Danio rerio: one gene and its partner. The protein of the gene in region 2 interacts with the protein of the main gene of each other region in a pairwise test. Links are inferred from orthologs where the notes say so. Each region holds a gene or a part of one and is shown on either strand. Other genes may lie near its edges.

Region 1 (4,070 bases), on a different chromosome or scaffold from region 2:
TTTATTTCTGTACCTGAATTCTGTTAAACTCCATTATTTGTATCTTTGCTTATCTATGCTTATAGTTTATTTTTATTTGTTCCCAAATGCTCATCTGTAGATCCCATACAAAATCATCCTAATCAATCAATCTAAAATTGTTAATTTTTCTAAATAAAGCTATTCAAGTGATCTGGTTAAATATCGCAGTATAAATAGCAAAACATATAAATATCAAAATATCTATTTTTTCCAATATTGTGCAGCCCTAATATTAACTAAATGGCTACAAATGTTCCCAAACAAAGCTGTTAATAATTCCTAATACTCACTAGTAATGCGAGAGAAATCAGCTCTACTCTGGCTGAAAATGTCTCCAAGACCCATTCTGCTCAGTGTGGACTTCAGATCAATTTCAGTATCCATGGAGAACCTGAAAATATAACATAAGTTAGGCCTCCTATTTTACATGTTCATCATCACAACAGAAAATCCCAAAGCTTACAGAAATAGATCAAGTTGGTTACCTTGGAATAGACAGCTGTTTGCTTATCTTCCTCATTTCTTGTCTCCACTGGTGGATCCTGCTGCTGCTCAGCTCTTTGTTCAAGGCAGACAGAGGCACGTCCTTCTCAAAAGGTGTCACCAGGAGCATACTTATCGACTCCCCCTCATAAGGTATCTCGATGACGTCATAGTCCACGCCATCCTTAGACACGAACTCACCTAAAATAAAACAACTTTGTAAATAACAACAAAAGTTCTTGTTTTCTCACTAACCCATCACTGAAATTCTTTGAAACTCACCATAGTTGAATTTTTGAGTGGTTGTCATCATAGGAACAGATACAGCACTGCCATTGACTGTGTGGAAGAGCTGCTCTCGAGTGTTTCTGGGGTCAAATGGTGTCTTCCAGACCCCGTGGAAGTGCAGGGCATTCAGGAGGACTAACCGTGTCAGTTCACTCAGCACTCCAGATGGGAGGAACTCAGAAATCATTCCTAGGATGATGACAACAACAAACAAGTTTAGCATCTTATATAGCGTATGGTGAGCTTATATTGGCACGCAATCCTTTTTTATCCAAAGAGTTGTACAAATGAAGAATATCAAAGGCAGTTTAGTCAAAATAGCATACACACCACCAGTGTGGTCAGACGTCCAGGAGTTGATCACCTGCCTGGCCATCTCTGGCTGGCTGAAGTCTATCTGGTGTGGGACGCTCTGGAAGGCTTTGCTCAAGCTGCGCCTAAAGACCTTTTCCAAGATGATCTTCCGGTCAACCATGACCCCGCTGGCCACCTCCACTCCATCTTCACTGGCCAGATCTCTCTGAAGAAGCCTCTGCAGTTTGGGCATTCCTCTTTCTGTCGGAAAGAAAGAGAAAAGCAACATTTACATATCACATTCAGAATACATTTTTATTTAACAACATGATAGTTTTTGTTTAATCTGAGTCGCTTTTATTTATCTACCTTGCAGAGAGTAGCCCATCTTGGAGGCGAGCAGTTTTAGAGTAGCGCCATAGGCACCCATCTGAGCCATTCCCAGCACCGAGGCGATACCATATGGAGAGAGAGCCAGATTTCGATCTGGAGCAGACTGGACGGCTTCAGCAAACACCTGTAGCCCAAAATCTGTCTGTTTGTCCTGGATAAGGTTGCACAAGCTTGATGCGCAAAGGGCAAAGATCAGTAGCACACTCAGGCTCTGCATTCTGAATATCTATTGAAAAAGACAGAGAGAGAGAGAAATGTCAGCGATTATTGTATATTTCTGGGTGACAGTGAGGGTGTGTTCACTTAGCATATTGTTCAGGACAAAAAATGTTTCAACCTCCTCCAAAAAGAGAACAAGCTCTTTACTTTCCCTTGTGAAAATTCTCTCTCATGTGCAAGACTCAACACCAACCACTCAAACGCAATACCACGCCGTCTCTGTTTGCTTGTCTTGACTCACTCATATCTGGCGTGTTTATGTAAAGACTACCATAGCACATAATCTTTGACTTTAAACACTAAAAATGACAGTTAACCCAATGCTGAACATTCTATCATCATTTACTCACTATTAACATGTTAAAAATTTAGGGTTCTTTCATTTATTAAACAATTTGATTATAATATTATGATTTTAAATTATGATATTTTGATGAATGCTGGAAACCTGCAACATTTGATTTTAATATTTGGACAGTCAATAGTTACAGGTTTCCAGCATTCTTCAAAATATCTTTTTATCTTCAACTGAATAATAATAATAAAATAATAATAATAAATAAATAAATAAATAAAAAAAATAATAAAAAAAAAAATATATATATATATATATATATATATATATATATATATATATATATATATATATATATATATATATATATAAAATCATGAAAGTATGAAACCACTTGAGGGAGAGCAAATTGAGTTAATTTTCATTTTTTAAAATGTGGGAAAACCCAATTTTAAAGTAAATTATTTTTTGGTAAAGTGTACAGGTCAGACCACCTAATATTTAGCTTTAAATTATTAATAAATATTAATTGCTTTTTGCACATGCTTTTTACCCCCAGAGCAAACCAAAATGTCTCCAATTAATCGATCACAAGTGAATGTTACCAAAATTGTACTAGAAAAGTTTGACTCTCGACTGAATAACAATCAGCCCATATGTAACATTAAGCCTACGAAATGAGACAGAACAAGAACACAAAGTTACCTTAAAGATGCTTTACTTCTGTAGAGTTTCTCTGTAATCTCTGTAGATGTAAGGCGTTACTGTGATCATCCAATGCAGTGGAAGCCTAGAGCTGCTCTGTGTGCCTGCCAGGAGCTCGGTCTCTATTTAAAGGACTCTTGTCCTCCCCCTCAGACGCGCACGCACTAGCGGAAGTTATGATGTCATATCGTCTGCTTTTCATTCCCGCTCTCCGCTTTTCACACAGACAAACATAAACACTATTTTTTCAACGGTGTCTCTCCCCCTGTCTGTCTCTCCTTTCATTTTTACTAGACTGTTAAACAGTTAAGTCATACATTTAGTCTGACAGAGACAGCAGTCACAGCACCTCGTTCAGTCATTAAAACTTTGTAAAGCGTTTGTTTAATAAACAGTGTTGAGTACAGGGGCGCCCCCAAGGGGTGGCCAGGGGTGGCCACGGCCACCCCACGGTAAACTCTGGCCACCCCTGTGGCCACCCCAATATAATTTTGCTGTTGACATTATTGATTTAAATGTACTTATAAATTCCCAATATTTAAATAAATAAATACATAAAATGCAGTCACTAAATTATTGTTGGTGTTACTGACCTAGCTCTCCCCCTCTGGTTCAATGCTGGTGAAAGCAAACTGACGCATGCGCGCAGAAAACCATTCCCGCGCGCCTCACGCACTCCTGTGTGAATCCCGGTTGGTTGTTTCCATGCACGCCAATAAAATAGGCGCCGCTCATGTGCCGTGAAACCGGAGTAACAGCCTTTTGTGCAGAGGTGTAGGCACGCAGCGAGTTTTTAAAGTCGACTAAAGTTTATATAATATGATGATTACTAAACATGGCTTTAAAGCAGAAAGGATGGATAATGAGTCAGGGAGGTAAGACTTCATAACATGATTTCTCAGCCATGATCTGGTCTAAGACCACAGATAATTCTTTAGAATTGTTATAATTAATTTTCATGCAAAAGGTTTCTTAAGTGGTCTTGGCATATCACTCCAGTTGTTGTTTTATTATGTTGTTTGTTATGTTTATTAAATAACAAATCTAACAATTCAAGGGAGGTGGGGTGTATGGGGTGGTTTGCCAGGGTGTCATTTAAACTAGAACCGCCACTACCCTCCCCGATCGTCGTTGACAGCACGCACACACCTTCAATAGACAACAATGGCAATTTAATATTTACCTTAAGGTACAGTATATCAATAGAAGAAGCTGCATTAATAAAATGGCTCAAAAACTAATATGGATAAATGATATTATTAGGTAGGCTATAGTGAGTGTGTATATAGAAATGCCTTTTGTTCAGTTTGTTCATTTGTTTGGGTTATTATTTACTCATTATTCTTTCTTTTTTTTCGGCTTAGAACCGCCA
Region 2 (3,937 bases):
CAAAATATTGCAATGTCAAATTTTTCCAACATTGTGCAGCCCTAATGCATACAACAGTTTGCAGTGCTAATGACAAGAAAGCCCTTTTGATCTGACATGAAATAGAAACTGAACAGACAGTCCAGGAGTAAAGAAAAAAAAAGGCCTGTGAGTCTGTGACTTTAAATGTTTTAAACATGAGGTGACCTACCTTCCAGACTCTCCTGTTCATCTGAATTCAGTGAGCCACAGTGTGTCTGATCTCTGAGGAACTGCACCATAGAATATGCCAAACGCTTTTCCACTGCCATTTTGTCTGGGAGAAACCAGAGAAAAGATTTGTTGATACAGGATTATTGAAAAAAAAAAATGTTTTAACCAAATCAGACATTGGACAAATCGGACATTAAAGGAAGACACTGAAGGGTTAGATAAAAGAAGAATAATTGTATTATAAGATATCATTCATTTTCTGTCGCTTTTCCGGGGCCGGGTTGTGGGGTCAGCAATCTTAGGACTAGGAGAGAACCCCAGACTTCCCTCTCCCCAGATAACTTCCTCCAGTTCCTCCGGGGGGATCCCGAGGCATTCCCAGGCCAGCCGAGAGACATAGTCACTCCAGCATGTCCTGGGTCTTCCCCAAGGCCTCCTCCCGGTGGAAGGCTCCTCCTGAGTTTCAGAGCTCCGACATAAGAGTGCGCCCTGCCACCCTTCGAAGGAAACTCATTTCGGCTGCTTGTTTCCAAGAGCTTGTCCTTTCGGTCATGACCCAAAGCTTATGACCGTAGGTGAGAGTAGGAACGTAGATTGACCGATTGACCTTTAAATCGAGAGCTTTGCCTTTCGGTTCAGCTCCTTCTTTACCACAACAAACTGGTACATTGACCGCATTACCAATAAGCCTGTCAATCTCATGTTCCATCCTTCTCTCACCCTTGAACAAAACCCCGAGATACTTAAACTCCTCCATCTGGGGTAAGGACTTTCCTCCAACCTGGAAATGGCAAACCACCTTTTTCCGGTGGAGCATCATGGCCTCGGACTTGGAGGTGCTGATTCTCATCCCAGCCGCGTCACACTCGGCAGCAAACCGAATGCATGCTAAAGGTCGATGTTCGATGAAGCCAACAGAACAACATCGTCTATGAGTAACAGAGATGACATCCTGTGGTCCCCGAACCGGACCCCCTGCAGCCCAAGGCTACGCCTTGAATAGTTGAGAATATGTTGTACATGACATATAGGAGAATATGTTGTACATTTTCCTGCTTTTAATTTTATATTATAATAAAATATAATATCACCATTGCATTTTCTAATTCCCAAAATGTTCTTGATAAAAAAAAAGAACAGAACTTCCCTTGAATGCTATGAAATGTGTTGACTTTGTAGCACTTGCTATGCGAATTTAACATGAAAAAACAACTTCATCTTCATCACAAGCTCTGTCAATATCTAGTTTTACTCCTCATCAGTGTTGAGTATTACATCAATGTTTCCATTTTTAAGATGTTGGCTTAAAATCTTTACTGATATATTAATATACAGTACTTAACCCTCTGGTCTTATTCAGACAAAACTATTTGTTTTATATTGTAAATTCAACAGAATGGTATGAAAGTTTGTGACTTTTGCAGCACTCGCTATGCAAACATACAGTCAGAAAACCGTGGACTTGTTTCAAATATGCTAAATGATCGCAGATGGCAGATTCATTGAGAAACGAAACACCACATTGTTACTTTGAGACACAATGTTCAATGCTCTGGGGAAACAAAACAGAGAACAGATCATACAAATTCACTCAATATTAAGTTCTCTGTTGAAGTGCTGTATAAGTCAATAGCACATTGCAAAAGTGCTCATGAACAAATAGTCTACCCACTGAGTGGCACTAATTTCCCTCTAAAGAATTTCACATACTTTAAGTACTTGTATTATAAAACTCAAGCACAGCATTAATTTTAATAAATAGCACCCATTGCATTAGAATATGAAATAATTGTCCAAAATAAATGTGACTATTTTAGTACCATAAAATCCAAAATAGCAAAAATGAAAAAAAAAACATTTACATTTTTATAAAAATACAACTATTGTATCATTAAAATCATTGTTTTGGCCATCAAACACATGTGTGATATAAACAATACCATAGGGTTAAGTATGTTTATGTTAACGTTGTATACATAATGCTGCTGTGTGTGTTGTTGCAGGGGTTAATTACATAACGTTCACCTATGAATTATTTTATAAGCTTCTGATCATCAAAGCCATATTTGACACATAAATACTTCTGGTGCCACTCTTACAGAATATACATAATACTTTCACACAGCTGCGATACACAGTCAAGCACAACATACGTCCCTAGATAACAAAAGCCAAAACATATGATGCAGTTATGATGTAATGCTGACAACAACTGAATCAAAATGTCACCCTACAACATGAAACATCATTAAACCTCCTGTATATTTCTAAATACACCCATATCGCAGATCAGCACTAGTGTGTGCATCACAGATGGTCCGTGTTTACACTGCTTTACACAGATTGCAGGGGGCTGTGCAATGGCTGAACACGTTCGCAGTTTATTTAACGCACGGAAAGAGAAACCTCTGGTACTCTTCTTCAATAGCTTCGCATTTCTCATAAAGCGTAAAAATATCAATAACATTATAGTGTTGTGGATGCTGTGCGCGCCCCCGCCCACCTACCTGGAGAAAGTGCCCGCAGCGCTCGCTCCACAGTCATGAACACTCTCGTGACACTGATGCTCAGCACTGCGCACGCGCATCACTGACGGAAATGACTGGTCGAGGATCACCACCACCATGAAGAGTTTTATTCATAATCTTATTACGTATAAGACGCGAGTTTAGCTTTCTATATAAAATTAATTATTCATTTTATATTTAATAAAACCTTTGATAAATATTATAACTCAATGTAGTTTTAATAATTTATAGTCAGTTACAAGAGATGATGTGTCAAAAAATTTCATACCAAAATTCATTCATTTTCCTTCAGCTTAGTCTCTATTTCAGAGAGACTAATTTCAAAGGCCGCCACAGCGGAATGAACTGCCAACTATTGTTTTACACAGTGAATGTCCTTCCAGCCACAACCCAGTAGCTAACTTTACTGGGTAACGTCCATAGGCTACACTCACATTCACACACACACTACAGCTAATTTAGTTTATTCAATTCATCTATAGCTCATGCTTTGGACTGTGGGGAAACCGTAACACCCGGAGAAAACCTACACGAACACGGGGAAAACATGCAAACTCCACTCAGAAAAGCCCACTGGTCCTGCCAGGACTCAAACCAGCGACCTTCTTTCTGTGAGGTGATAGAGCTAACCACTGAGCCATCGTGCCGCCCCACACAATGTATTGTGACTATATGAAAACAAAAAATGACTCAGTCTTCAGTTTAATACAAGCCATTAGAAATCGCGCCTAAAATGATATGCTCGAGTCTAGAAACATTACTGATTATTATAAGAAGAAAACAGTTGTGCTGCTTCAGAGTTTTGTGGAGAATCATGATTATTAAAGTGTCAAAGCCCTCAAAATATGAAGCAGGAAATATGAAACATATTTAACTTATAATAATAATAACCATTTTAATGACTGAGCGATGAGCACCAATTATAATTGATACTAATTAATGTCCCTTTTTCGGTCATAGTACAGCAGCAAGTCAGCAAATGATACAATAGGCCTACATCACAGACTGCTATATAAAGCAAACATATATTGACTAAATTATTCATTCATTCATTTTCCTTATTTGGTTTAGTCTCTTTAATTATCAGGAGTCATCACAGTGGGATGAACCATCAATTTATCCAGCATATGATACCCTTACGGTTGCAACCCAGTACTGGGAAACACCCATACACTCTCAATCACACACATACACTACGGTCAATTTAGTTTATTCAA

What was found.
Region 1: the proteins of sgtb (region 2) and serpine1 interact in binary tests that used the Homo sapiens proteins (3 or more experiments, as listed by UniProt). The two-hybrid records come from large-scale screens. The link is inferred for Danio rerio from reciprocal best matches to the Homo sapiens genes SGTB and SERPINE1.

Annotation. Positions count from the first base shown.
Region 1 is NC_133182.1:26,294,624-26,298,693, forward strand, and holds the start of serpine1 (plasminogen activator inhibitor 1), read right to left. Parts: upstream 2,801-4,070; 5' UTR 2,699-2,800; intron 1,706-2,698; 5' UTR 1,697-1,705; coding exon 1,456-1,696; intron 1,348-1,455; coding exon 1,123-1,347; intron 982-1,122; coding exon 787-981; intron 706-786; coding exon 507-705; intron 413-506; coding exon 312-412; intron 1-311. UniProt on the Homo sapiens protein: Serine protease inhibitor. Inhibits TMPRSS7. Is a primary inhibitor of tissue-type plasminogen activator (PLAT) and urokinase-type plasminogen activator (PLAU).
Region 2 is NC_133185.1:17,682,918-17,686,854, forward strand, and holds the start of sgtb (small glutamine-rich tetratricopeptide repeat-containing protein beta), read right to left. Parts: upstream 2,801-3,937; 5' UTR 2,737-2,800; coding exon 2,700-2,736; intron 296-2,699; coding exon 191-295; intron 1-190. UniProt on the Homo sapiens protein: Co-chaperone that binds directly to HSC70 and HSP70 and regulates their ATPase activity.